Diceros bicornis minor: one gene and its partners. The protein of the gene in region 2 binds, or shares a complex with, the protein of the main gene of each other region. Links are inferred from orthologs where the notes say so. Each region holds a gene or a part of one and is shown on either strand. Other genes may lie near its edges. The genes, in order: NUP85, NUP107, NUP214 and NUP188.

Region 1 (7,185 bases), on a different chromosome or scaffold from region 2:
TTTTTTTGTTGTTGAGGAAAGACTGGCTCTAGGCTAACATCCGTGCCCATCTTCCTCCACTTTATATGGGATGCTGCCACAGCACGGCTTGCCAAGCGGTGTGTCGGTGTGCGCCCGGGATCCGAACCGGTGAACCCCAGGCCACCGCAGCACAGAGCGTGCACTTAACCTCTTGCGCCACCGGGCCGGCCCCCTTAAATTGAAAATTATGTAGTAAACACGCTAAAAGATAACTTTTGTCTGATTATTAGAGTAATAATACTCATTCCTGCCAGCCTTTCTTTCTACATATTAATAGATACATTTTTTACAAAATTGAGAAAATTTTTAACAAAATTTTACTGAACTTTGTAAAATTTTGCTACAATTACCTTTTAATGATTGTGTAGCATTTCCTAGCTGTGAGACATTTATTTCCTTTTTTTTTTGGTGATTATTCAAAGTGTCCTTCTTGGTTATTCCCTGGAAGTGCAATTATGGAGACAAAAAGGTGAACATTTTAAAACTTCTTTAAGGGGTCAGCCCAGTGGCGTAAAGGTTAAGTTCGCATGCTCTGCTTTGGCGGCCCGGGGTTTGCAGCTTTGGATCTTGGGCGTGGACCTACGTGCCACTTATCAAGCCATACCGTGGCGGCATCCCATATACAAAGTAGAGGAAGATGGGCACAGATGTTAGCTCAGTGACAATCTTCTTCAGCAAAAAGAGGAGGATTGGCAACACACGTCAGCTCAGGGCTAATCTTCCTCACCAAAAAAATAAATAAATAAATAAAATAAAACTTCTTTAAAGATTTTTCCATGTTCTTATCAGTCTTCAGAGTTCTAAATAGGTGAATAATATCTCATTGATACATTTACTTAGCTGTTCCTCTATTCCACTCTGGTTGAGCATCTATGCCAGTAGCTCTCAACAGAGGTGATTTTGCCCCCTAGGGGACACTGGGAATATCTAGGGACATTTTTGGTGGTCACAATTGTTGAGGGGTATTAATGACATCTAATGGATAGAGGCCAGGGATTCTGATAAACGTACTGCAATGCAAAAGACAGCTCTCATAACAGAATTATTTGGCCCCAAATGTCAATAGTGTGGAGGTTGAGAAAATTTGTTGTTGTTATATATAGCACGTACCAAAATTCATATATCTTTTATATTTTGAAATTATTTGAAATAAATTTTCAAGAGAGGATTTACTGGGTCAAACTATATAAATATTTGTATGGCTCTTGATAATAGATTTCTACCTTGTTTTCCAAGACAATGATGTCTCTTGAAAATGATTATGTATTTATTTCTCTGCAGGGTAGGGAGCATTAGTTTTACTGGGATGCATTAAATGCATCCACTCAGCACTTTACATAGGCCACATCTCTAGCACAGTTCCTCTGGCTTGATCTGAGAATGATTTTAAGTTTGACTTTGGAGTGACTTAAAGTGATTTTTTTTTTTTTAAGATTTTATTTATTTATTTTTTCCCCCCAAAGCCCCAGTAGATAGTTGTATGTCATAGCTGCACATCCTTCCAGTTGCTGTTTGTGGGACGCGGCCTCAGCGTGGCCAGAGAAGCAGTGCGTCGGTCCGCGCCTGGGATCCGAACCCGGGCTGCCACCAGCGGAGCGTGCGCACTTAACCGCTACGCCACAGGGCCGACCCCGAGTGATTTCTGGTTTGACTCTTGTACAATAGGTATGTTTTTTTTTAATTAATTAATTAATTAATTATTTTTTGTGAGGAAGATCAGCCCTGAGCTAACATCCGTGCTAATCCTCCTCTTTTTGCTGAGGAAGACCGTCTCTGAGCTAACATCTATTGCCAATCCTCCTCCTTTTTTTCCCCAAAACCCCAGTAGCTAGTTGTACGTCATAGTTGCACATCCTTCTAGTTGCTGTATGTGGGACGTGGCCTCAGCATGGCCGGAGAAGCCGGTGCCTCGGTGCCTTGGTGCGCGCCCAGGATCCGAACCCGGGTCGCCAGTAGCAGAGCGCGTGCACTTAACCGCTAAGCCACAGGGCCAGCCCGGTATGTTTTGTTTTAGATTTTTATTTGATTCCAGAAATATTTTACTCTTTTTGTCTTCTTAGGGTTCTGATATACCTCAAGTGAAGTGTCTCCTGCATAACTGAAGACTGGCCAGAGTAGATACAGGAATTCCAGAGTTAAACCAACCAATCTAGGGAGAGGAGGGGGAAGAGAGAGGAGAGGAGATTGTGTAGCACAGGGAAGAGAAAAAGATTTGTATGCTGATTATTTAACTTGTTTTTCCAAATGTATTCCTTTAAGATTATCTGTTTAAAAAAAAAGGATAAACTACTTCATTGAAACCCCATTCTTGGAAGTCTATTTGAGAAGGACTAGAAGGAAGAAAAAGGTCTATATATAGAATAATAATAGCTCTATTAGCTGTAGTTTTTCTTTTTTCCCTCTATTAATGAATATATTCAAATGATTGTGTAAAGTTGCTGGTATATCATGGTCTTAGACCAAGAATATTTTCAACACTTTTTTCCAATATTATCTAGCTCTAGGTCAGACAATTTCAATACTTCTATTATCTTCAAATGGCAATGTCAGTCATAAAATATCAAGAAACTATAGTACTAAAATTTTCCAAGCTCTTTTGTCATTCAAATTATTTTTTCTCAGGTCTCCTTTTGAGAAAGGTGGTTTTTCTTTTTGGTCTTTCATCCTGTTATTTTTTTCCTTTCCTTCTATTCATCCTGTTCCCCAGAATAATTTTCTCTGAAGGAAATTAGGCATGATTTCTATCAATGTCTATTAAGCTTGGCTTTCACTTCTGCTGCTCAAAGAATTCTGAATAGCCAGAGCAGATATAATAAACAGTTTTTAAAAACTGATTTATCTGCTACTGAATGTTTATTTTACTTTTGGAAAACGTTAGCCCTCTTTTTACCCCCTAGAAAATGGACATGAATGCATAATTTCTCATACTTCATAGCCACTCCACTGGTATCAGAAACAGCGAAACTTTTGGAAAATGCAGCAAGACATAGATGGTGGAACAGTATGGAGTTTTGTGCAAAACTACACTAAATTTCATACTATGGATGGCGTCTTCAGAGATAAGGATTTGGATAAAACTGTAATAGCCACAGAATTTTCCTTCCTTTACCTCACAAGAACAAACTACTGAGGTGACAGGATTTTCTCAACTACTCCAAGTCATCTTATTTCTACCAATTCAAATAGATCGTTCAGAATCGTCTCAAAGAAAGAAGGGTTTCCCCAGGTAAAATACTGAAAATTTGTCGTTTTCAGGTCAAATTTCTTTCCTAAATAAAAGCAGCTGCTATATTTTCAGGAACTGTTTCCTAAGACTTATTTTTTTTTTCTGAAGACAAATCTGAAAATTTTTTTTTCAAGTTTGTTTTTATTTTTTTAAATTTTTTGTTTATTGCCGTAACATTGGTTTATAACATTGTAAAAATTTCAGGTGTACATCACCTAAGACTTATTTTTAAATTTCGAATTATCTTCAGTTCGTTCAAAAGGTGCTTATTTGGGAATTTAGAACCAGTACTGTTCTCTTCCTTGTATGTGCATGTATTTGTAAATATGGCATTAACAAAATAAGTAACTGCTTTAAGTTATTGGAGCACTTTTGAGTTTTCCATAACAAGGTCTGGGATTCCCTGATTTGAGTTTTTTTTTTTTTTCTGTTTTTCTTTAGTGAGACAACAAACCAATATTTGCGTTTAATTAAGCAAGCCCAGCTGTCTCAGTTTCAGTTGGTTAAGCCTCATCAATTTTGTCCGCGTGCCTCTTGAGCGTTTTGGGGTAGGCGTGGCGGCGACTGCCTTCCTACAGAAGCCCGATGGACAGACGCAGCTCGGGAAGAGGTTCGCTTGCCCTGGACAAAGCTCTGACAAGCGGCCGCGACGACGCTAACCAGCAGACCAAAACGAGCAAAGAAACCCAGCACCAGGACACTCGTCGGACTCACTCACGCCTGGAAGCTCCGCTCTCTCCCAAGAACGGCCGCCCAGCCCGCGCACGCGCAGCCGCTCCCGCCGTCCCCGGGGCGGGGTGGGGGTGGGGGTCTTCTCCCGGCCCCGCGAGGGGCTGTCCGCGGCGGCGCCTGATCTGGCGGGAGAGGTACTGTGAGGACAGGCTGCCCTGGCGCAGTTTTCCCTGACGTGTTGTCGAGGCCAGGAAGGAGGCACACGTGTAGAGTGCCTCAGAGGGGTAGCCATGGCCGAGAGGAGAGACCCCTGCAGCGTCGGGGGTTCGGGCCCGCAGGCAGTGCAGGAGGCGCTCAAGCGGGGGTCCTCCCTCGGGCGAGCTCTGAGCGGGAGGCCAGAGCCAGGAGCATTGGCGAACCTGCGAATTCCAGGTGGTTGAGGCGCGGCGCTATGGAGGAGCTCGATGGCGAGCCGACAGTCACTGTAAGGGCGTCTGGAACAGTCTTGCTTGCGCTCGCGGTGCGAGGATTGAGTCTGCTCCGTCCCTGCCGGCTTATCTACCTCCCTGCCGCTCGAGAGGCGCCCCGTCCCCTTCCCTCAGCTTAATTGCCGCTGTCCGGGGGTCATATTAACTAGGTGCCTGTGTTTGGGTCACAGTGATCGCTGGGTTTCTGCTCCTTTGTATACTCAGAATACCTGGCCCCGGAGCCCCCACCTCATCCCTCTCCTTTCCTTGTCTGTCTTCCCTACCTTCCTCCTTCCCTCGCTTTTCCTCTTGGGCTAATGCTCTAATGAATGGGCTCGGACCAAGCAGAGGAATCCGGGCTTTTTTCCTCCAGCCGAACTAAGCTTCACATCGCAGCGCCATTAGCTTGGCTTCTGCTTGTAGTGCCGTGCTGGCCCGAGGTTTATCTATCTCTCGGGAGTCTGTTCCTGTTTTTATTGCTCTGTTTGCTTTCAATTTTATTTGTACTCTGAAGAGAGTATGTCAAGTGTGAATGATCTATGATGTTTATAAAGAGATTCATGGCTTTTAGATACGAGATATCTACTGTTGCCCCTGTCTGGAATGCTCTTCTCTCTTAGGTTTATCTCTTGTTCACTTTTCAAATGCAAGCTCCAGCAGCCTCTTGCTCAGGAAAGCCTTCTCTGACCTCCCTGACTAGGTCACATATCTCCGTCTCCCCGTTATAGGCTGGTTCTGCACCTCCTAGCTCTTGGTAACCTATAAGCCCCACTAAACTGCAAGTTGCCTGACCTTGCGTTTTTGCTTTTTAGAAAGTTGAAATGCCTACAGTTTTCAACTAAAGGCATCACATTGCAAAGCAGTGTCTGACAAAACCGGAAATTGAAAAAAGGGTCATTTCAAAGCTAACTGGATGAAAGGAGACATAAGATCTTAAATAACAGTTAACATGGGTTGTTACTCTCTGTAAAGCTTACTGCTATAGAGTGTGTTAAATTTTAAAACATAAAGAAAGTACTTTAAGTATTAAATATCCATCAAGGACTATGTCAGTGTTTGCAGGAAGAAAAATTAGAATATCAGAATCACTGGAACTTTTTCAAACTACATGTCATCTTGCCTTTCCCTCCTCCTCTTACATCATAATCTGGTTGGGGAAACCTTCCCAGTACGCTGTGCAACACTGGAGAGCCACTACTTTGATAATGAGCCATGCATTTACAAGTGGAATGAAGATAATCTAAGCTTATTTTTATCCCCAGTAGTGATGATTGATTTGTGGTAACCCAGCTCTACGCTGGTATTGGGGAGACCAGGTAGGAAACTGGTTGGTCTTGTGGGTACAGCCTCACAGAGGGGTATTATCTTGGTAGAACTCCATAGTCTCGAGTCTGAACCTCAGCTCTGCAAGGTCAAACTCGGTCATGTCTGTATTTGAGAGTTAGTCTGCTCTTTGGACTAGAGTCTGCTCTACACACTCGCAAGAGACTGATGTATAATCCTACCATTAAGTCACCTTTTGTAGTGGTTGTGTCTGTTCTTCATGCAACTGCTTCCTATTATCAAGGCACATGAAGGCTAGTTAGTAATTAGCAGATTCAAGGATGTTTTAAGTATAGATTCAGAGTAGAGAGTAGAATAATCTAAAGTAGTTTTTCTAGACCTTATCCTTTTGGTTCAAAGACTCAAGAAATGTAAGCTGCAGTTTTTGTTGCCTTTTTTTGTGTGTTTGTTTCTGGATAACTACCTAGAAATGGAATTGCTGGGTTATAGGACAGGTGCATATTTAGCTAAAATAAACTATCAGTTCTCCAAAGTGGTTATATCATTTTTTTTTGCACCAGCAAAGTGTGAGAGTTCTAGTTCCACATCTTTGTCAACTCTTTGTATGGTCAGTCTTTTTAATTTTAGCCATTGCCGTTCTAGTGGGTATATAGTGGTAGCTCATTATTATTTCCATTTGTGTTTCCCTAGTGATGAAAGATATTGAGCATCTTTTTATGTGTTTACATGTCATTTGTATATCTTCTTTGGTGAAGTGTCTGTTAAAATCTTTTGCCCATTTTGTTATTGGCTTTCCTTTTTTTTTTTTTTTTTTTTGATGAGGAAGATTGTCCCTGAGCTAACACCTGTGCCAGTCTTCCCCTATTTTGTATATGGGATGCTGCCACAGCATGGTTTGATGAGCGATGCGTAGGTCTCTGCCGGGGATCCAAACCAGTGAACCCTGGGCCGACAGAGCGGAGTGTGCAAACTTAACCGCTGTGCCACTGGGCTGGCCCCTGTTACTGGGTTTCTTTTTTTTTTTTTTTTTTTTTTGTGAGGAGATCAGCCCTGAGCTAACATCCGCCAATCCTCCTCTTTTTTTCGCTGAGGAAGACGGCCCTGGGCTAACGTCGCTGCCTATCTTCCTCCACTTTATATGGGACGCCACCACAGCATGGCTTACCAAGCAGTGCGTCGGTGCGCGCCCGGCATCCGAACCAGCGAACCCCGGGCCGCCGCAGCGGAGCGCGCGCACTTAACCGCTTGCGCCACCGGGCCGGCCCCTGTTACTGGGTTTCTTAACGAATTGTAAGAGTTCTTTATATATTCTGGCATCAAGTATGTGTTTTGCAGATATTTTCTCCCAGTTTGTGGCTTGCTTTTTCATTCTCTTAACAATATCTTTACAGAGCAAAAGTTTTTAATTTTGATGAAGTCCAGTTTATAAATTTTTCTTCTATAATTTGTGCTTTTGGTGTCCTATTTTTGCTGACTTTACAGTCAGAAAGATTTTCTTCTGTGCTTTTGAAGTTT
Region 2 (7,524 bases):
GTATGACAACCGACAGAAGAATAAAACTACTCCCCAAATATTAAAATAAAACTTAAAAAACCCAAGACCATCTCATATCTGAACAAACTGCTAATAATCTAAGTACTTCCTTTTGTTTTATATAAGCTGCAGTGTATCCTACAACTGTATTCAAAATTCTTCTATCTTTTGGACATGGAAAAAAGAATTAAGCACCTACCATAACTTAATTCACTAGATTCATATCTGACTCACTGGAATTCTTAATGAATTTATTAAAATATTCCTTTGAATTTCAATTGGACCATGCTATGAAAATAAGTTGCTTTAAATAAAACAATAAAATCATCTAGTTTCACCAAAGACAACCACAATCAACATTTGGTATGATCTTCATTCAGATTTTTTTTAAAAAGACTTCATTTTTTTAGAGCAGTTTTAGGTTCACAGCAAAATTGAGAGAAAGGTACAGAGATTTCCCATATACCCACCCCCCGTCCCCACACATCATAGCCTCCCCCCTTATCCACATCCCCCACCAGGGTGGAACATTTGTTATAATCAGTGAACCCACATTAACACATCACAATCACCCAAAGTCCATAGTTTACATAGGGTTCACTCTTGGTGTTGTACATTCTATGGGTTTGGACAAATATATATGACATGTATCCACCATTATAGTATCATACTGAGTGTTTTTACTGCCCTGGAAAACCTCTGTGATCTGCCTATTCATCCCTTTATCACCATGACCCCACCCCGGGCTTCAGTATTTCTTTATGCATTTTTACATTGTTTCTGAGCATAACGTTACATACTATATGACAACCTGTTTCCCTCATTTAAAGCAAAACAAACATTTCCAAATTATTACAAACTCTCTCTAAACAGCCTTTTAATGACTGCATAGCAGTCTATGATGTGGGCATTGGTTTATTCCCTCTCTGCCTCTGTTTGGTAGGAGTGAGGAACATCCGCCAAATGGCCACAGAATGTTTGGGGAACTGTAGTTGAATACAGCTGGAGTATCGAATTTGAGCTAGAGACAATGGCAAGACGATGCCAGACAGGCAAATGAGATGCTGAAGGCTGAGTCAAGTAGTTTGGAGTTAAAATTAAAATCAGGAGGAAACTGAAAGGTGAGTGACATGATCAGATTTGCATTTTTGGAAGACACTCTCTTAGCAATATGGAGAAAAAAGTGCAGTTGGAGGAGCTACAGTGAAGAGATGATGAGTCAGGCACAAGAAAGTAGCAGTGGAAATGGGAAGACAGATTGAAGATTTGGTAACAAAGCAGACGTGGGGAATGAGAGGAGAATCACTGATGGACCGATATTTATGAGATCAGCCCTGTGCTAACATCTGCCAATCCTGATTTTTTGTTTTGTTTTGTTTTGTTTGAGGAAGACTGGCCCTAGGCTAACATCCATGCCCATCTTCCTCCACTTTATATGGGACGCCGCCACAGCATGGCTTGCCAAGCAGTGAGTTGGTGCACGCCCGGGATCCGAACTAGTGAACCACAGGCCGCCGCAGCGGAGTGCGCACTTAACCGCTCACGCCACCTGGTCGGCCCGATAGACCGATATTTAAAGGGATACAACCCCAAGCAAAACAGATAAAGACGTCTACCCTTGTGAAACTTCAGTCCTATTGAGAGTAGATTCCAGATTTTTGGCTTGGGTAACTGGATGTCGCCACTTGCTAAGACGGCAAATACAGGAGGAGAGGTATGGTTGTAGTTGTGAGGTTGTTTCGGTGGGAAGTGAGGGAGGGGTAGGCCTGCTGGGTCCAAATTTAGAGTTAGCACACGTGACATTTCACATACTCTGTATCCTCAAGAGTGGGCACGTCCAGGAAGCAAGTGGGTGCAGTGAGTCTGGAATACAAAAGCAAGGCAGGGGTACAACTCCAAGCTGGGATCTAGTAGGAAGTAGATGGGCAGAGTTCTGGGGAAGATCAGTTGACGTTTAAGGGAAGGGCAGAGTTCAAGAGCCTACGGAGGAGACTAGTGGAGAGAAGCCAGAAGGAAGCAGAAGCCGAGTAAAGGCATGCCAGGGAGGGGCAGGAGGGTGGCAGCGAGGAGAGCGGTCTAGGGTGTCAAGTGTTCCACAGAGGATGGGGAATGAAAAACAAACTTCCACTGACAGAGGATCACTGGCGACCTTTTCCAGCAGTTTTCACTCAGCAGCGAGGGCGGAGGTCAGACTGCACTAGGTTGCACGGTAAATGTAAACGGAGACAAAAAGGAAGGTTACGCCTTCAACGTCTGCCTAAATTGAGCCCGATGTAGATGAATGATATTTGATATGATAAGACGCTCACACTGTTAAGTGAAAAAGCAGACTATAACACTCTTACAGTACGACCCCACTTGCTCCCCTACGGATTGCGGCGCAGCAGGCCACCCCGACAGAGTGGCGTCAGACACCATCAACTTGCTGGGCTCTGCGGGTCCACTGGACCCCACCAGGTGGTTCCGATGAGTCTCTCACGGGACTGTAGTCAGATATAGATAATGGAATCATGGGAATTTCTTTTTTAACAATGTATTTATTTTATTTATTTATTTATTTTATGAGGAAGATCAGCCCTGAGCTAACATCCATGCTAATCCTCTTCTTTTTGCTGAGGAAGACCGGCTCTGAGCTAACATCCATTGCCAATCCTCCTCCTTTTTTTCTCCCCAAAGCCCCAGTAGCTGTACGTCATAGTTGCACATCCCTCTAGTTGCTGTATGTGGGACGTGGCCTCAGCACCGCAGGAGAAGCGGTGCGTCGGTGCGCGTCTGGGATCCGAACCCGGGCCGCCAGCAGCGGAGCGCACGCACTTAACCGCTAAGCCGCAGGCCGGCCTGGGAATTCTTTAATTTCTCTATTTGCTTATGTCTGTTATCTTACCGTTCTGTAATCGCCACATCCATTGGATTTATGGTAAGAACACCAGCAAACAGCTCATCACAGTTTACCAAAACACAGGTTTGGCTGGGAAGAGCGCCGAGCAGAGACAGCTGGAAAGGACGCTTTCCTGTGAGGACGGAGGGTTAGGGGGCTTCTGGAACAGACACGCCGACCTCACGTGCCTCCAGGGCATCCAGTGAAACCCGGGCAGCTCCTGGGCAGCCTCCCGCGCCGCGTCCCTCCAAACGTTCATCAAGTGCCTGTCCTCAGAACACATCGGACAAATCCAAACTGAGGAACATTCTGGAAAAATTGGCCTGAACTCTTGGAAATATTAATGATTTAAAAGAAAAGTCTAGGGGACTGTTCCAAACGAGAGCAGAATACGGAGACGCGACAACCGACGCACCCCGCCCCGCCAGGTCCCGCGCTGGAGGGGGGCTCCGTACGGGCCGTTATCAGACAACGGGGCAGGTCTGAACACGTCGGTGACGGGACTCCGTCAGCGGGAGACGTTCCCGGCGCGTGTTTTACCGTACTGGGGGCACGACGTTTTGTCCTTGACTCGGGAAGTCTGAAGGCTTTGGGGTGAAGCGTCAAGACGGCTACAACTAACTTGCAAACGGCTCAGGCAAAAAAGGGGAGAACAGTCGTGGGGCGATGTTAGCAGTGGGGGGGGGGCCAGGGAGGAGCGCATCGACGCCTGTCGTGCTGTCGCTACAGCTTTCTGTAGTCTCCAAGTTTTCAAAACGAACAGTCGGGGAAGACAAGGTCACGTCTGCTCCCCTCTGCTGTGGGGGCGGGGGGGGCGCAGGAGAAGGGGGGCGAGCGAGGGGGCGCTCTCTCCACACGGCCCGGCTCGGGGCGCTACAGGGGCGCTGTGGGGGTGGGGGGGGGTGGGGGGGCGCTCGGGCGCCGCTTCCTGGCCTCTCCTCCAGCTTCTGAACCATTCCGTGGGCGCCGGACAGGCTTCTAGAACATTCTCTCCTCCTCCAGGTAGCCGCAGTGCATGTCAGGAAACGCAGGGCCCTACAACGAGGCTGGGATGTACACGACGCGCACCACACAGGAGTTCGTCCCATAGAGCTTTAAGGCGCTGACATGACTACATTTTGAAACATTCGCTGCGCGTGTGCTGACTGTGTAGACGTGACCCGGGCCCCTCTCCAACAAGCGCTGCACATGAACTAACGCTGGCCAACGCTTTGCCCCAAAGCTCGTCCTTGCTAAAGAGGAGCCCTTTCTCCTTAAGAGGAAGACACCCAGTGAAGACAAGGAGCCATCACGGTAACAGCTCCACAGACACGACGCACACAAGCGAGAGCCCCTGTCCCCGGCCCCGGCCCCTCTCACAGAGAACACCCGGAAGTGACTGCACGTCTTCCTGGACCGTCAGCCGACGCCGTTTCCCATAGGACACCCCGGCGCCGGGGCCACGCCCACACATGTCAGTCAGGCAGTGGCGGCGGCGCGTCACTGGCCCGGCCCTGCCCCGGCCCGGCCCGGCCCGGCCCCCCGCATCGTCTTCACACGCTAGCACACTTTCGCGCCTGCGCAGGTCGGATCTGCGGCTGCAGGCGGAAGAAGGTGCGCATGCGCTCGATGAGAAAGTTGGTCGCCGTCCCCCCTCCCCCCACGTCTTTTCTCTACGGCGGCTTAGCGAGGACATACTTCCGGGTCGAAGGATTTGCTTCCGGAGAGCGGGAAGGCTGAAACGCGGTGGCTAAGCTGGAGCCGAGACTGCAAGGCTCTCGGTGGGGCAGGCTGTAGCCATGGACAGGTCAGTTGCGGTGGTGACGGCTGAGCTGGGAGACTTGTCCCTCCTGCTTGTCAGCAGAGCGAAATAGGTGACCCCCGACGCGCAGAGGAAGCCGGGAGGGCCGGGTGCTGCCCAGGCCTCCTTCCCCGGCGGGGAGACTGCAGCCGGGGTCGGGGGGACACGGCTGGCCACAGTCCCCGCGTCCCCGCGGCGGCTCCGCCGTCTCTTGTGCTCTTTCTCCCGTTTCCCGCTCCTGGGGGGCGGGGTGGGAGGAGATGCTGCGTGCCCTGCGAGGTCCCGGCCAGTCGGCGAGAACGGGGACCGCAGCCCAGGCTTGCTGACCGCAGCTCCAGCAGCGGACAGCCACTGACTTGAGTTCTCTGTGACCCTGGCGCTGCTAGCCGCCTGCGACGCAGATGAGTTATGCGAGTTCTTGTGTGGTGCGGGAGACTACCGCGCAGCACGAAGTGAGAAGTGTTTCCTGCTGCGCTGTGGGGGGAGACGAGGGGGCGGTTTCAGGAAGACCTCCCAAAGGAGCCGACTTTCTAGTTGGTCTTTGAATGATAATAGCAGCCGACATCGAGTGTCTTAAACCCTTTTCGTGTAGTATTAGCTAATTGAATCTTCATACCAGTCCTATGAGGATGGGTGCTACGATCCTCTTCTCATAGGTAACACTGGGGCTGAAAGAGGATAAGGAACTGGGTCAAGGTTAGGAAGCTAGTAAATAGAAGAACCAAGTTGCCAGCCTGGCTGTGTGTCTGCAGACTGCAGGAGGCTGTTTGATGAGTAAGCAAGTGTTCACCAGGTGGGCCAAGGGGGCAAACATAGGCCCCGGTAAAAGAAAAGGTAAGAATATGAAACTGCATGCTTTGTGTAGCTGAATAGTCACATGCTGTATATGTTTGTATGGGGGTGATGTTTGTGACTGAACTGATAAGTTTGAGGTCAGGTGTAAAAACCGTGGACTTGAGTCTGTAGGCCAGAGGTAGCTATCTGAAGGATTGAAGTGGAGGAAAAGCATATTGGATTGTTGACTTAAAATACAAGTCTCCTAATTCACACAGTTTATTTTGTAGATCTTGGTCTGAGAGTGACAGGGGAGGGCTGAAGCATTGTGACCACAATAGTGCTGAGACAGGAGAACCCTCAGTGTACTCTGGGGAGAAATAACTGGAAGGATCATTTCTCTCCAGTTTACTAGAATTGGTTTTTTACTATCTTCCCATCTCACCAGCTCAAACAACAGATTTTTTCATAGTACCTATGGTTTGAAGTATCTTGGAGACTATAGGAGATCCTTTTAAGAGATTGTTCCTGAAATTTTAGGGAACTCCTCAATCCATCAGAGGAAAGATTGACCTTCGTGAGGCGGTTATCTAAAACAGTGTTATAATATAGATTCCAAGTGTTGAAATAATTCCAAAGGAGAAAATACCACAGTGAATGCCAGAAAGTCAGAGAAGCCTTTGTGCAGGTAAAATTGGAGAGAGACTTGGAGGGAGAAGCAGGATTTGGAGCCAGAAGGGTATTGTCAACAAAATGATCAAAGACTTGGCTCCTGGGATGATTTGTACCTTGACTGACTCAGGGTTCTTTGCTCCAATCATGATGATAAAGTTCTTTGCAAATGCTGCATTCTGATTTCATTTACATGAGCTTGATTATGCCATTTTAGGAGTGGCTTTGGAGAAATGTCATCCCCTGTGATCCGGGAGGCGGAGGTGACACGGACTGCACGGAAACAGAGTGCTCAAAAAAGAGTTCTAAGTATCCTTTGTGCTTTAAGCATCATTATTAAAAAAACTGCAACATGTTTGGAATCAGGATTATAGATTTTTTGTGTGTGAGAGGTATTAAACACTAGCTATAATAATAAAATGCTGTGGAAATTAGTTTTTTCAACTCTCCAGATATGTTATTTGGCAAATATAATGCTGAAATTCAATGAAATTAAGATTTATGTTTTCCTGAAAATAAAGATGTTCCATTTTACTGCTATCATATTGTGGTTAGCTTCTGCTGAGATTAGACATCTTTTTTTTATTTGAAATCTGACTGAGAACTCTTAGTTCAGTGTGTAGTAATCTTAAGACTGATATCTGGGGCCGGCCTGGTGGCGCAAGCGGTTTAAGTGCACGCACTCTGCTTCAGCGGCCTGGGGTTCGCAGGTTCGGATCCCAGGCGAACACCGACGCACCACTTGTCAGGCCATGCTGTGGTGGCATCCCATATAAAGTGGAGGAAGCTGGGCACAGATGTTAGCTCAGGGCCAGCCTTCCTCAGCAAAAAAATAAAAGAGGAGGATTGGCATCGGATGTTAGCTCAGAGCTGATCTTCCTCACACACACACAAAAAAGACTGATATCTGAGAATTTAAATCGTAGAGGGAATTATTTACTCTTGGCATAGAGAAAATGGTAGCCATAAAATACCTTGGTTTTGAAAAATGTATTCACATATTTTTTATAGTGTAAATATGGTTAGTTCTAACTTGAATGGTGTCTTTTCTGCATGGAAAACTTTCTTAACTCTTCCCACAGTTCGGGCATCCCAAGATGAAATTTTTGCCAATACTACACCAAGAAACCAGGGTATCCCTCAAACTCCCAGCTCATTTCGACCACCCTGTAAGGTTTTTTGCTTTTAAAGCATTTAATAAGAATAATAATAGCAGCTAACTCTTATAATACACATAATAAATATAACATTTGGTTGCAGTATCAATAATTAAGAACAATAACAATGATTGTAGTGACTATTTGTTGCACTCTTAACCATGTTTCAGGCACTGTACTTACGCAAATGCACGGTAACTATGACATAGGTATTATCTCTATTTTGCCAAAACTGAAAGTAAGACTTAGAGAAGTTAATGCAG
Region 3 (7,442 bases), on a different chromosome or scaffold from region 2:
TGGCTGCTGCCCTTGTTGAAAACAGTGTCCTGTACCCATATTTTTGCAACAATGGTCTAAAGAGTACACATTCCCATTTGTTTGGATGGGACTGTTGTGTTAATTAAAAAGCCATGCAACAAAATCCTTCTCCTAGAGAGCCAGAACCCAACTTCAACTGAGCGAAAACAAAAGCATGGCAGAATGGTAAATTCTTCTTCCCCCTGAGCTCAGAGGAACAACTCATTGAAAGAGAAATACAAAGGACCAAAGAGAACACCCTGAAAGGCTTCCAGCATCCTACCTGGAACTTATTCTCCTTGGGGGTCAACCTTAGGACTAACAGCAGTTTTAATTTTAATACTGGAATGATTTTCTTGGGAAGGAAACTACATTCACACTTCACCACACTCCTCTCTCTACTACCGACACAAAGCAAGTAACTTACCTATCTTATTGGGATCGTCTCCAGGTTTATTTTGAATAAGGAGATTTTTAGTAGGAAAAATCTGCAACCCACTGGCTCCACCAGCAAAGACCAGACCGTATTTGTTGGACACAGCAAGCAGACTTGAGCGTTCTTTGGGCAACTCCTCAGGGGAATCAAAGATTCTCACCTTCTTCAGTGCTCTAAACTGAAAATCCTGTTGTGAGAGATCAAAACAAGACCAATTTAGGGAAAACAGGAAATTAAATGTCTGTCATTATATTCCAGTAGACCCAATTCCAGTACAACAAAAAGATATACTACCCTGAGGCCAAAGACTGTGTGGCTCAATCATTTTTAAGTTTCCTATGCATAGTGTGGTGCCTGGCACACTGCTTGTTAGTATTTATTGAATGAAATAAAACTTTCAAAATTCTTTCATGAAGCCTTCCTTGACTAATCCAGCTCACACTGATCTTTTCTGAATTCCTAGTTAACTTATTGTCCTAAACCACCACACAAGCTGCACTTTATTATTTATAATCTTGTCCTATTTCATGGTATGCATTGCTCAGGACCCAGAGTAATGCTTAACAAACTGTTGTTAAATACTGAAAGCATTCTCCAACTCTGCTGTAAGCTGGAACTTCCAGTGCAGCCCTCAATAAATATATATATGGAAATAATGACCACAGAAAGAACCAGATCCCAAGAATGGGCTTACCTGCACCAAATGATAAAAAAATCCATCACAGAAAAGGATATGTATGGTCAATGTCTTGGTGTTCAAGTCCTATAAACATACCTAGATGCTAAAAGACATCTAAACACAAGTCCAAGACCCTTCAGGCAGGCTATAAGGCCAGGAAGGGGCTGACCCATCCACCTACAGAGCCTCACCTCACAACACCGCTTCCCTCCCACAAGTGTGCCATCACCTCTGCCACACCCACTGTCACACCTCCAACCCCCACCCACTATCAGTTTTCATTTCCTTCCATTTTCAAGGGCCTCAGGGCCTGGGAGCCTTCCCCGATCTGTCAATGCCTGACTCACCTAGTCTTCCATGAACTTACCTATATGCTTTCAAAGACAATTTTCAGTGTGTACCACCTCCCGGTAACAGAGTTCCCTAGGTTTACCAATCACTATGTTAAGTTGTACTATATACAGTTTTTTTCCTTCAATTCCAAACCTATCTTCAAGTCAAAGTTTTGGTGAAAAAAATGTGAATCCCCTTTTGCTTACATTCCAAAACTGTAAAAGCCAAAGAGAGTTTTTCTCAGCCTCCATTTTTGTACTTATGGCGCTTCATACAGGACCCCTAACATACCCCACATACTAATTTCCTTGGATTCGATGTTGAATACATATTTGCTAAAAGATTAAAGGAAATACCCTTCTTAACTCCACCTGAGTACGGTGATCAGAAATTCACACCACTTTCCAGGTGAGACCATACTGTGGTTTCATACAGTAGAATAAAATTTTCAGTCTTTGTCATTCTCATCCTGATCATCCCAAATTTCCTATTTGGGTCATAGTCACACGGGCATAGGGAGCCAGTGGGACGAAGAGGTACAGCAGAGCTCTCCTTTCTGTTATAATCAGTAACTCAAAGGCAGACTATCATCCTCAAAGGCTGTGGTTTTAAAACCTTTTTTTCCTTCCACCTCGGCATCTCTGAGGAAAACGCCACACTCTCACTGGGTGGCTCACCCACAGTGATTCTCAAGAACGAAGAGAGAAGCACTACTCTAAATACGGTATGGATTACCACCCAAAACACATTTCAGTGATTTCTTGTTCAAACGCCTAAAATCTTCCTGCAATTCACTCCCTTTCAGGTGTTTATAACCATCATTTGGATCACCTGACCCTCTTTTTTGGCTGATTCCCAGCACCAGAACAGTCCTCCTATTCCACTTAACCAAAGGTTTTGTAGGACAGGTGACGAACCCCAGCTCTGTGTTAGGCAAGCCTGGCCCACCTTACAGAGGTGGTACCGTGCGAGTGAAGAAGAGAGGCTCTTAAACAAGACATCCCTGGATTTCAGCCGCCTTGTCAAATGTGACTTTGAGTAAGCTGCTTTCCGAGCCCCATTTGCTCCTCTACATTAACGACTACTTCGCGGCGTTGCTGTGATGATCACCACACGGTAATCACAGTGCCTGGCACACAGTAATCGCTCAACACACGGTAGTTATCGCCACGCCTCCGACCACCACGTGACAGGAGCCAGGGTAACTCGAGTGGCGCGCACAAGAGCAGCAAGGGGCGGGGAAACTGCGTTCGGGGGGGCTTCCACGCCGGCGGCGGGGCAGAGTGCTCCGGGGCGCGCCGGTGACAACTCGGAACGCGGCAACTGTTCAAGCCGGAGGCGGGGCAGAACCCGCGCTTCGCCGTTCAGCGCGGCTCCAAGGCAACGCCGCGACTAAGCAAGGGAGGGAGGCCCCGGCCAGTCTCTGACCTTCATCTCCCGCTCGGGGATCATGGCATCCATCTCGTCTCCCATCGTGCCGCCCTCAGCTGGTCGAAGCAGCCGCCGCTGCCGCCCGCGGCCTTGCCCACACAGCCCAGACCGCCCCGAGGCCAACTTCCTTTCCTCGGCGTTAGCGGCGCGCAGCGAACGCCACATTTCCGGCGCGCTGTGCTGACGTCACGCGCTTCCGTCCGCCGCGTGGTGGAGGGAGGCTGGGGGCCCGTCTGAAGTCGCGCGCAATCCTGGCCGCCGCCTCCCATTGGCCGGCTCGGCCGAGTAGGGCCCGTGGCCCCAGGGCCCATGCTCGCGCCCGGGAGAGTCCACGTGCCGCCCCCGCGTTCGCGCTCAGCGCGGGCTCGCCTCGAGTTGGTTTCATTCATTGGGCAGCGGGCGCCCGCGCGAGCGCTCCGTTTGTTCGCTGGAGACTTCACAGTAACCCCGGGGTGTAGGTGGTTAATAGTTCCCGCTACTTCACAGATATTTCCAGGGGCGGCTCTTGAGAGAGGTTTGGAGGGGGGTGTGGAGGAAAAGAGGTTCAGAAAGGTGGCGGGGTGGGACCTCTCCACGTGTCTAAGCACGAAGGCTGAAAGGGGAGGTTAAAAGGCACCAAAGGTCAGCCTTGTTTACTCCTTTCAAGGTTATCATTTACAGGGCAAGACCCTGGAAACCGCAGAACACTTCAGATGTGTTATGTAATCTTCAAGACATCCTAGTCACCTAGGGGCATCATTGCCGTTTAATTGATGAAGTAACTGGAAGCCCAGAGAAGTTAAGAAAATTCCCCAGTGCCCCTTAGTCAGAAAGTAGCAGAGGCAGCCTGAGAATTCAGCTTCTCTGGATCTGCTGGTTGATGACTATTAGACAGTCCTACGTAGAGGTTTTTGTAGTGGAATTATATTATAAATGCTCTAGGACAAAGATTCTTAACTTGGAGCCGGTGAGTCAGCTCCATGCTCTGCCACTTACTGTTTGGTTGTCAGCAAACTGCTCATCTGCTCCAAGCCTGCTTCTCATTTATAAAACAAGGATGACATAGTAGAACCTGGCTCATGGGGTTGTTGTGAGGAGTAAATGAAGCTCAGCATTTAAGAGAGCCTAGCACACAGGACACATTCATTCGGTCTGTTACTATATTACATAGCTTTTCTGAATTTGCTGAGCCCCAAACCATCCCCAAAATACACCAATGAAGACATTGATAAGTTTGTCTGTTTTATTTCCAGTCTGTAGACACGATATCCGGCACCATACACACTCACACACACACACATACCGCATCCACCTGAACTTGCCCGACACACTCCTTCCTTTTGAGTTGCAGGGACAAAGCCATACTTGGCAGCCCCCAAGTTGCTGGTTACATTAGTTAGATTTGGTCTTTCAGAAAGAAGACAGCTGAAGTTCTAAGAAGCTGAGCCCTTAGCCAGAGAACAGTCCTAGAGCCAATAGCCACAACCTGAAATACATGCAGACCCCCTTTCCAGGGACCGCTCTTGAGATTCACTCCCTCCAGGGGTTGAGTTCCGAGAAATGGTGAAGGGAACTGATAAGGTTTCCCAGGACACCCCCCATCCAATGAGAGAACTCTCTTTCCTGCCCTTTCCAGAAGCTGGGGACACACTCACTTGCTCTCCTCCCTTAAGGAGGCTTCCTGCAGTCTTGTAAAGTGTGGAACCTGCTGAAATAAGCCTGGTTGGTTCTGCCCTCCTCTCTGAGTGAGGAACAGTCCTAGACTATGATGGGTAGTCAAGGAAGGCTTTACCTTGCTCAAAGGTCTCTGAGAGGAGAGGCAGTGGGAAGGGGTGGGGACAGGCAGTTGCTCATGTAAGGATCTCAGGCGAAAAAACAAAAACCACCAAGGGAGGGCAGGAGGTGGGGTGAAATTTTACATTTAGAGGAAGGAATGTTTTGCTGGGGTTTAAACTTCAGCTGGGCCTGTGCATTTGAAGCAGCTCCTTAGGCTGAAGATCAGCCAGTCATGGCCAAATAATCTTGCTCCTGAACTGGTTTAGACCAGCAGATTAACCCAACCTGGCCATTTCCCCATCCCCTACCGGCTCCATACCCTCAAGCTGCTGTAAGGGCCGCTCCTTGGGCCCTTGATTATGGGTCACTAAGGAGCTGCAGGGAGCCCACACTAGCTCCAACCTCCAACAGTCCCCAGACCTTTCCACTTAAGGTTTTGCGAAGGCTTCTCCAAGACTCTTGCCCAGTCTGGGGCCTAGCTAGGTACCCCCAGGATTGCAGTGCAGTCACCTCATATCCCCCTCTTTCCTAACCTTCATCTCACTCATTATCGTCTGGGTGTGACTTCCCCACAAGACTCTAAATTCCAGGAGTCTATTTCCCTACTGGGTTCTTAGCTCTTGACCCATAGCAGGTGCTTAATAAATATGTTCAATGGATGAGTGCATCTCTGAGCCAGTAGGGTAAGGGGCTCCAGAACACAGGTGGGGTCAAGGCTGGGGTTCCTGCTCAGCCAAGATGGGGCCGAGAGTGACACCTTCCTGCATGAGTTCTGAGAAGCAGCTTGGCCGAGAAGCTCTAGGGAAGGCAGGACTGCAAAGGCAGGCCTGGTCCTTACCCAAACCCTGATGCTGACTCGGGGGCACCGGGAAGGGGGAGTCCTGGCCTGGGCCTTCCTCAAGTGTTGACCTAGGAGCATGCCCCTCCCTGCCCCTTCCCTTGTTTTCATCCCTGACTGAGACAGCCCAGGGCAGAGATGAAGCATGGGCAGGGCATCTGCACACGTGGGCTTCAGTCCAGACTCTTCCAGCTCCAGATTAACCCCTGACCTTGCGCAAGGCACTTAATCCCTGTGGACCACGACAGTTTTCTCGCCTGTGAAATGAGAGGACTGGCTCAGATAACTTACAGGGTGGATCCGGGCTCTGAAACCCTGTGAGTCCATAATAAAGGACACAGGTGACCCCAATCCAATCCCCAAGCTCAAGGTTTTAGGCAATTTGGAAACGGAGAGATGAGTAAGCGAGACAGTGGACACAGCACATGGCAGGACAAAGTAGGGGGACTTAAAGCTTATAATAGGTTGTCAATAAATATCTGTTGAATGACTGAGTGAATGAATGAATGAATGAATGGTGTGAGTAAGGTGGAAAGGCAAATGGGGGAAGTGCAGTCAGGTTTCAAGCAGATTTGAATGAGAAAGGCAACCTCCTATTTCTCAGCTCTTGGCTTAACAGTGGGGTTGACTCTTTTTGCCATGAGCATTTTAATCCTCATTCTCCTATGCTGATATCTCCTATCTCCCTATCTCCTATGCTGAGGATGCCCTCAGCATCCTCCCTAAAAGGTAGGACTATAAAAGGTAGGACTAGATGAGCTGACCCCCTCAAGGCCCCTGGCCTCCCCTCTACCTCCAAAGCCCTTTGCTGCCCCAGCAAGGGACGGCAGGCTGCACCCTCCCTCTGAGCTGCCTGTAAAGGTGTGGCCAGGGGGCAAGCCAGAGGATTCCTTCCTGAACCTTCTTGAAGGACTCAAGTTGCCAAGCCCCTCTCTTTGTCTCCTTATGTCACCTCACTGAGGATGAGAAGAAGTGTGGACTGAGGGGGGATCAGGTGGGGCAGTGGGACACTGAGTGGCCACGTCCTGGACAACACAAGAGCACTGGAACAACAAAGCTGTCCAAGGAAACCCTAAGGAGGCTACCCCAGGGTCTCCTATAAGTGGGCTGAGGTCCTCACCCAGGCCAGGGCAGCTAGCCTGGACTTAGCTCAGAGACGTCCTGGAAGGATGGACGGTGCCAGCTTCAAGCGTGGGGATCACAGGCTTCCAGTCTCCCTGTCCTAGCCCTGCCCCTCCGGTTTTTGGTTTGATGTCAAGCCCTTCTGCACAGGGAGAAGGGACGGATGGGAGAAGAGAGGGAGGGGACCCAAGACTCAGGATTCCCCACCCAGAGCCCCCTTAAGGCAGATAATTTGTGCTTTACAAAAAGATCACTGATTCTGCCAATGAAACAAACAAACAAACGCACAAGGACCAAACAAAACAAATAAGACAAATCACAATGAGTCGAGAGGGCAGCGAGATCAGGAGGAGGAACAGGGGCAGGGAGGGCGGGGCAGGTCCAGGCAGGGGTCCTCAGGGCAGGCTGGCAATGTCTCTCTCTGGAGGGGGGCCGACTGGCTTGGGGCTGCTCTCATTGGCTTTCCCTTCAAACATCATGACTCTGGTTTGGAGATGGAGAAAAAACAAAACAAAACAGGATTAAGACCCCTTCCCTCATCCAAGAAAAGATCATCCCAGCCCTCACATCAGCAGGGTTCTCAACAGAATGCCCTTGCATCCATCCTTAAGTGGAATCTTCTCGGAAGCCCATGAAGGCAGCAATGTGGAAGGGGCTGCTAGTCCCACTTTACAGAGGAGAAAACTGAGACGCAGAGTGGCAATGTGACTCCTCAGAGCCACACAGGCAGTCCAAGGCAGGAGGGGACTCCAGATCATTGACTTATAGGCCATGAGCCTTCTCCTAACCACGCTGCCTGGCCCATGGCTCTGCTCAAAACCCCTTCAGATCTTCAAAAACCTCCCACT
Region 4 (7,693 bases), on a different chromosome or scaffold from region 2:
ACAAATCATTATATGCAGAAGTCTCAAGAGAAGGCAAAATGAAGGAGAAGATTGTAGTTTACCAGGAAGGGAATCCTTGTGGCAATGAGTGTTACTTGTTCCTCAATTCCTACACATTTATGGTCTAGGAATAATAGGAATACAAACAAATCTAAGACCATCACAATGCTCATAAGCTTACTGTTGCGAATGACAAAGGATGTTAAACACACATTACACAATCAGCAAAAAAGTATAAAGTAATAAACGGCGTGATCCTAACAATTACACACCACAAAGGAATATAACCACACGGGGCAGAAAAGAGTCAGAGAAGAGAGAGCTCACTGGGAACCAATGCAGGGATCAATGAAAACTTCACCTCAAATTGGGACCTGAAGGTTTGAGCAGGTGATTCTCAAGATACAACAGACATAGATGGAACTGTGCTTTCCAATCCAAAGCCTCAGGGTAACATCTTCTACACGTATTTTCAAGAAACAAACTAACTGCTACAGTATCGCTCATTTATTTGCACAATAAATAAATCTGAGCTAAGTATTTCCAGGAGAAACTAAGGCACAGAAACTAAATAACTCGCCTCAAAAGTAAAGTTAAAAAACTTATTGAGGGGCTGGTCCAGTGGCCCAAGCGGTTGGGTGTGCGCGCTGCGCTGCAGCGGCCCAGGGTGCGCGGGTTTGGATTCCAGGCGTGCATTGACGCACCGCTTGTCAAGCCATGCTGTGGCGGCGTCCCATATAAAGTGGAGGAAGATGGAGACGGATGCTAGCCCAGGGCCGGTCTTCCTCAGCAAAAAGAGGAGGATTGGCAGATGTTAGCACAGGGCTGATCTTCCTCACACACACACACACACACACACACACACAAAATTACTGACTTCCAGTCCAATGCTCTAGCAGACAACATGGAACTCCATTCCTAAAAGAGCTGGAGTTAACAGAAACTGGAAGCTATCTTCCTTAGAGAGATCCATGGGGTTGGAAACCTTTGGGGGAAAGCTTCTAGGTTAGGAATAAGTCTCTACAACTGAGTCGTTTTGGTAAGAAGGCTGAGACACAGCCAACCTACTCTGAGATAGTTCTTGTGAGAAACATGGTGATATTCCCCATGGAGATGATAAATAAAAGTGCCCACTGCCCACGGATCCCCTGACTCCAAGGATGAAGTATGACTCTCTTGCATGAATTGAGATTTAAGCTTAGCAGTAACCTTTTCAAACCACAGTTGTCTTTTTAACACACGTACACCACTCAGACTTCTACAAACACACTAACTGAAGAACACACACTAAGAGACATCCAAAAATGTCAATATTCAAACTGACTTTCTGCAAAACCCTGACTTTCCCAAAACCCTGAGTGATTTAAGGATATTACTCTATTTTTCACAATGATTTCCCTACATGCTTCAGAACCACCTCACCGTTACTCTGAAATACTTGGAGAAACAGGCTCAAACGGTAAGCTGGCCTGTCTGCGGTCATCTGCAAATCAGCAGGCAGCAGGAACAGAATTTCAGTTTTCTCCTAGTCCAGACCTCCAAGCATTTCAAACAGAAGGCTGCTGCTCAGTATAACCCCAGTCGTTGTAAGGAGCCTTCCAGCACAAAAAGAAAGTGCATTCTCCTAACAGGGGCTAGGAGCAAAGCAGTCAGGCATGAGTTTGGTAGGTTCCCCGGGATGATCAAAGCATCTTTCAGGCAAACCAATGCCTTCCTTCCCTTGTTCTCTTTCATCAAAGAACGCGCCTTACCCTGCAAGAGCTAAACTTGACCCAAACTCCCCAACGACTAAGAACTAAGCCTAAGAAAAGGAGGGCACAGTGACCACAATGCTGCCCAACATGAGAGCTGACATGAAACAGCAGAGGCGGAAAAAGCAGACTGGTCCTCACAAGGTGCAGAAGCAGTTCAATGGAAATTCCGGAGAAGAAAACCTCGAGCTGAGAGGTGAAGGAAGTGCCATCAGATAAAACGAGCAACATTCATAACAAATATTTTCTGGCAGCCTATTACGCGCTCTTCTGGGGGCTGCGGATACAGCGGCGAAACAGACGAAGCGGGGCAACACCGCGGGCCCAGGGAGCACTAAGCGACAGGAACGTTTAGCTCATTTCAGGAGGGAGGGCGGCAGGGAGAAGGGCGACGCTTCACGCCGTAACTTGGAAGACGGAGGTGCGGGGATCGGGTTAAAGCCTCGGACCCGGGCTTGGACGCTCGCTTGACCGCTCAGCCAGTTCTGAGCCGGACCCGCGAGCCATCGGTGAAGCCCAAGGTGCCCACGGAGTCGGGAGAGTTCCAGGGACATGCGCGGGGGCCGGCGCTCGGAAGCGCCCTGGAAGTAACAACTGTCTCTTTCTGCTTCTACTTCACCCCCTGTCCCCAAGCCCAGGACGGCGCCGGGGCCTCCCCGAGAACGCGGGCAGGTTGGCGGACGGAACCGACGCACGAGGAGAGGAACAGACGGATGAATGGAAGGCCGCGCGAGGACGGAGAGCAGAACTGCCCGGAGGGGCTCGGCGACTCCGAGCACGAGCACATGGGGACCCGGGGAGCGCCGCCGGGCAGCGCAGGAGGCGGCGGCGGGCCGGGGCGGGGGCTCCCCGCGACCGCGAAGTGCCCCGGGGCGCCTCGAGGGAGCGTCACACCGGACGAGGAAGCGCGGGGGGGCGCCGAGGGACGCGCCGGCGGGGACAGGGGAGGAGAGAAAGGGCCCGAGCGAGGAGACAGGAGGCCGGCGCCGAGCGAAGGGGTGAGGCACCGGCCCGCCTCTCGGAGAAGTCACCTCAGATCCCCGCGCGCCGGGACAGTTTGGACGTAACCGCCTCCCGTCTCGGCGCCCGTCCGCCTAGCCGGGCTTCGCCCGCCGCCGCCACCACATCTCGCCCCAACTCCCGCCCCGCTTCCGCTCGGCTAGGACTCGGCGCCTCACACCCACCCCCGCCAACTCGGCCCGCTCCGCACCTCACACACGGCCCGCCGGCGGCCGCCGCCATCTTCGCGCGCCCGCGCGCCCCAGCCCCGCCCCCAGACGCCGCGCCCACGTGACCTACCCACCCCCCCCCCCGGCTGGCGCGTGGACGGGGCCTTACATCACGTGATGGCATGGTGGGGCGGGGCCAAGATGGCGCTGCCCTGAGAGGTGAGGAATCTGCGGCGAGGGCGGCCGAGGCTGTGAGGAAGGCGGCCGAATGGCGACGTCTGCGACGTAGATGAGAGGCGGTGAGGGGTGACCGGGCGCCAGCACCCGGGCCGCAGAGAGTGGCCTACAGTGGAGCTTTCCTCCTCGCAGCTGGAGAACGGAGAGAGAAGGTGCTGGCTGGGTGAAGCTGCCGCTTTCTGCCTGGCGGGGCTTGAGGGGCCCAGAGTCCACGGAGTCCCTAATCACCCTGGTTTCCCCGGGGTCCCAGGTCTAGAGACATGACCCGAGATTGCGCTCCCCCGGCCCCGGGAACCGGGGCTCCGCTGAGCGGGTCGGTGCTGGCAGAGGCGGCAGTGGTGTTCGCAGTGGTGCTGAGCATCCACGCGGCCGTGTGGGACCGATACTCGTGGTGCGCCGTAGCCCTCGCAGTGCAGGCCTTCTACGTCCAGTACAAGTGGGACCGGCTGCTACAGCAGGGGAGCGCTGTCTTCCAGTTCCGAACGTCCGCAAACAGTGGCCTACTGCCCACCTCAGTGGTCATGCCTTTGCTCGGACTGGTCATGAAGGAGCGCTGCCAGTCTGCGGGGAACCCATACTTCGAACGCTTTGGAATTGTGGTGGCAGCCACTGGCATGGCAGTGGCCCTCTTCTCATCAGTGTTGGCGCTGGGCATCACTCGCCCGGTGCCCACCAACACTTGTGTCATCTCGGGCTTGGCTGGAGGTGTCATCATATATATCATGAAGCACTCACTGAGTGTGGGAGAGGTGATCGAGGTCTTGGAGGTCCTGCTAATCTTCGTCTATCTCAACATGATCCTGCTGTACCTGTTGCCCCGCTGCTTCACCCCTGGGGAGGCACTGCTGGTACTGGGTGGCATCAGCTTCATGCTCAACCAGCTCATCAAGCGCTCCCTGACTGTGGTGGAAAGCCAGGGGGACCCAGTGGACTTTTTCCTGCTAGTGGTGGTAGTGGGAATGGTGCTCATGGGCATCTTCTTCAGCACCCTCTTTGTCTTCATGGACTCAGGTACCTGGGCCTCCTCCATATTTTTCCACCTCATGACCTGTGTGCTGGGTCTGGGTGTGGTCCTGCCCTGGCTGCACCGGCTCATCCGCAGGAACCCCTTGCTCTGGCTTCTTCAATTCCTCCTCCAGACAAACACCCGCATCTACCTCTTAGCCTACTGGACTCTGCTGGCCACCTTGGCCTGCCTGGTGGTGCTGTACCAGAATGCCAAGCGCTCATCTTCTGAGTCCAAAAAGCACCAGGCCCCCACCATTGCCCGAAAGTATTTCCACTTCATTGTAGTGGCCACCTACGTCCCAGGTATCATCTTTGACCGGACGCTGCTCTACGTGGCCGCCACCGTATGTCTGGCAGTCTTCATCTTCCTGGAGTATGTACGCTACTTCCGCATCAAGCCCCTGGGCCACACTCTGCGGAGCCTCCTGTCCCTCTTCCTGGATGAACGAGACAGTGGACCGCTCATCCTGACACACATCTACCTGCTCCTTGGCGTGTCTCTTCCCGTTTGGCTAGTCCCCAGACCCTGCACACAGAAGGGTAGTCTAGGAGGAGCAAGGGCCCTAGTCCCCTATGCAGGCGTCCTGGCCGTGGGTGTGGGTGACACGGTGGCCTCCATCTTCGGCAGTGCTATGGGGGAGATCCGCTGGCCTGGAACCAAAAAGACCTTTGAGGGGACCATGACGTCTATATTTGCCCAGATCATTTCTGTAGCTCTGATCTTAATCTTTGACAGTGGAGTAGACCTGAACTACAGTTATGCTTGGATTTTGGGGTCCATCAGCATCGTGTCCCTCCTCGAAGCATACACTACACAGATAGACAATCTCCTTTTGCCTCTCTACCTCCTGATATTGCTGATGGCCTAGCTGCTGTGCAGCAGTGATGGAGGAAACAGGGCCAAGGGGAGGATGAATGGTCCCCACAGCAGCCAGACAGTTGGGCATGAAGAGCCAAGGAGTGAGAAGCAGATTTGATTTTTCAGTTGATTCAGATTCAAAATAAAAATCCAAGATCACCGGGTTTTCGTTTCGCTAATATTTAAAAAGCAATGGGGCCGGCCCCGTGACGTAGCGGATAAGTGTGCGCGCTCCGCTACTGGCGGCCTGGGTTCAGATCCTGGGCGCGTCCCAACACACTGCTTGTCCGGCCATGCTGTGGTGGCATCCCACATACAGCAACTAGAAGGATGTGCGACTATGACATACAACTATCTACTGGGGCTTTGGGGAGAAAAAGGGGAAAAAGGGGAGGATTGGCAATAGATGTTAGCTCAGAGCCGGTCTTCCTCAGCAAAAAGAGGAGGATTGGCATGGATGTTAGCTCAGGGCTGATCTTCCTCACAAAAAAATTAAAAATAAAAAGCAAAAAGGCTTAATTAAAGAATATTGCAACAAATCAAAGAACTTGAGTGTGCTGTAGCCCCCCGTCCCCTGCCTTGCAGTCTTCAGAGGAGGCCGGAGTGGACACTGGAGGCAGGAGAGCGTAATGGTTAACACTGCAGGTTCTGCTGTCAAGGTAATCTGGTCAGAATCCTTGGCTGCACCACTTCTTCAACTGTGTGAGTTGCTTAACCACTCTGGGGCTTAGTTCTGTCTGCAAGATGAGAATAATAAGAGCCGGCACCTCACATGGTGGTGTGAGGATCCAGTGAGGTGAGGTGTATGACATGTCCAGCCCAGTGATTGCACATCGTGAGCAATCAGTAAGGGAAAGTGTTATGATTACTCAAGGCCAGTCCTCATCTCAGCAAAAAGCCAGGCAAGCTAGAGAGTTTCTGGGGTGTCCTCGGAGACAGAGGAACCTTACTCCCCTGGCTTCACTTGCAGGAGAACCCAAGAGGAAAAGAGCCAAGTGCATGTGGTTTCTCCCATTTGGACTAGGAAGAGCTGAAGGGGAGAGGTGGGATCAGCTTGTTGCGTGTGTGGAAGGGCTGAAGGAAGAGGATCAGTCTCTGGGCTGACTTCCTGTTTCAGTCAACCCCACCCCTGCCTCAGTGTCTCTGCTGCCTGGCTGAGTGGTGCTGATGAAAGACCGGCTGGACAGCACAGGATCCTTGTCAAGGGGTCCCTCCTGAGACCCTCTCACACTCCAGTCTTGTCCAAACCTGTGTTTGTCTCTTCTCTTGTCAAGAAATTAGAGCTTAGGGAGCTGACAGAGTTTACTGAGAGGTCAGAATAGCTCTACTTGGGGGGCCATGCTCTAGCCTTGCTCTCTGTGAGGACAGAGTCTGGGTCTGCCTGGTTCACCACCGCATCCCCTGGTGCCAGCAGAGCCTGGCATGTAGCAGGAACTCAGTAGACGTTTCCTGAATGGATGAACCTTTCCCATCAGTGGGAAAATAGCAGAGCAGGTTTCCTGAGGCTGGACGAAGTTATGCCCCCTTCTTACCCAGCGTGGCAGGGAGGGGCGTAGCAGGAAGAGGTGAGAACTTTGGCCCGCCAAGGCCAGAAGCCAGGAGCGGAGCTTTCGGGAGCTCTTGCTTCTGCCGGGGGATGACTGCCAAGCCCTTTCCTGGAGAGGACATTCCTTTGGGGCTCAGAGGGGACTTAAGAAACCCTTCCCTCTCTCAGGCTGCCGTCTACGGCTTGCCTAGGAGGCAGCAAAACGCTGGAGGAGGGCACAGTTTTGCCTCACTGACTCCCTGGGCAGCCCTGGGAAAGGCCTCTGTCCTCTGGGCCTTGGTTTGTCCACGTAGACGGTGGGGGCTGGAAATCAAGGTCACAAACTTACATGGCTGCTGAGGCCAGGCAGGTAATGCCACAAAGGAGGACAGGGGAAGTGGGAAGCAGAGAGGACGCGTGCCACTAAGGGGACACCTCCAGCCAGTCGTCACCATGCTAGACCACAGGCCCAGTGTGGTTGACCTGCCCAGTCAAGGAAGCTTACAGACCTGGATTGTTATGTGACATCTCCCAAATTTAAAAAGTTTTCATAAAAATGTTGAGGCCCAGACAAAACACATCTGTGGTCTGAAATCAGCCAGTGGCGCCCAGTTTGCAACCTCCAGGCCAGGCTCCAGCTAAGCAGGTTTTCAATTTGGTGGTCATTCCCGCAGAAGGTCTGGGTGCCTGCCAAGCATGCCCAAGCAAGAGGCCCTCGTCTGGCCCCGATTGTGCAAGTTGCATAACAGACCCAGAGAGAGGAAGGGCCTGGCCTGAGGCCAGAAAGCAAGTTGGTCACAGAGCCAGGACCAGATATGGGACTCTGGATTCCCAGTCCCGGTCTTTCTCCTCCGCAAGCAAGGAGGCCCAGGAGTGGAGAGGTTAGAAGCACAGGCCCTGGATCCGGCTGCCCTTGCTGAACAACTGCACAGCTGTGTGACTGGGGCTCCCCGTGCCTCAGCTTCTTCACCTGTAAATGTGGATGGTGAGAGCCCAGACCTGGAAGGAGTGAGGACTCAGTGAGACGAGGCACGTGGAGCTCTCGGCATGGTGAGCACCCACGAAATGTTACTTACTGGTATAAAAATCAGGCAACCCTCCCCAGGCTGGGCTGGGGGACCTGGGGTGATTTTCAGCAGGGCTC

What was found.
Region 1: NUP107 (region 2) and NUP85 share a complex: the UniProt entries of both Homo sapiens proteins name them as parts of the nuclear pore complex. The link is inferred for Diceros bicornis minor from reciprocal best matches to the Homo sapiens genes NUP107 and NUP85.
Region 3: NUP107 (region 2) and NUP214 share a complex: the UniProt entries of both Homo sapiens proteins name them as parts of the nuclear pore complex. The link is inferred for Diceros bicornis minor from reciprocal best matches to the Homo sapiens genes NUP107 and NUP214.
Region 4: NUP107 (region 2) and NUP188 share a complex: the UniProt entries of both Homo sapiens proteins name them as parts of the nuclear pore complex. The link is inferred for Diceros bicornis minor from reciprocal best matches to the Homo sapiens genes NUP107 and NUP188.

What each region holds. Positions count from the first base shown.
Region 1 is NC_080757.1:55,717,524-55,724,708, forward strand, and holds the start of NUP85 (nuclear pore complex protein Nup85), read left to right. Parts: upstream 1-4,169; 5' UTR 4,170-4,370; coding exon 4,371-4,403; intron 4,404-7,185. UniProt on the Homo sapiens protein: Essential component of the nuclear pore complex (NPC) that seems to be required for NPC assembly and maintenance. As part of the NPC Nup107-160 subcomplex plays a role in RNA export and in tethering NUP96/Nup98 and NUP153 to the nucleus.
Region 2 is NC_080756.1:2,509,782-2,517,305, reverse strand, and holds the start of NUP107 (nuclear pore complex protein Nup107), read left to right. Parts: upstream 1-4,514; 5' UTR 4,515-4,656; coding exon 4,657-4,664; intron 4,665-5,314; exon of another isoform or gene 5,315-5,492; intron 5,493-5,972; exon of another isoform or gene 5,973-6,120; intron 6,121-6,321; coding exon 6,322-6,413; intron 6,414-7,186; coding exon 7,187-7,273; intron 7,274-7,524. UniProt on the Homo sapiens protein: Plays a role in the nuclear pore complex (NPC) assembly and/or maintenance. Required for the assembly of peripheral proteins into the NPC. May anchor NUP62 to the NPC. Involved in nephrogenesis.
Region 3 is NC_080767.1:38,433,014-38,440,455, reverse strand, and holds the start of NUP214 (nuclear pore complex protein Nup214), read right to left. Parts: upstream 3,001-7,442; 5' UTR 2,922-3,000; coding exon 2,877-2,921; intron 624-2,876; coding exon 428-623; intron 1-427. Other genes in the region: AIF1L (allograft inflammatory factor 1-like), read right to left, coding at 6,990-7,077. UniProt on the Homo sapiens protein: Part of the nuclear pore complex. Has a critical role in nucleocytoplasmic transport.
Region 4 is NC_080767.1:36,691,659-36,699,351, reverse strand, and holds the start of NUP188 (nucleoporin NUP188), read right to left. Parts: upstream 3,013-7,693; 5' UTR 2,994-3,012; coding exon 2,962-2,993; intron 1-2,961. Other genes in the region: DOLK (dolichol kinase), read left to right, coding at 3,418-5,034. UniProt on the Homo sapiens protein: Component of the nuclear pore complex (NPC), a complex required for the trafficking across the nuclear envelope. Required for proper protein transport into the nucleus.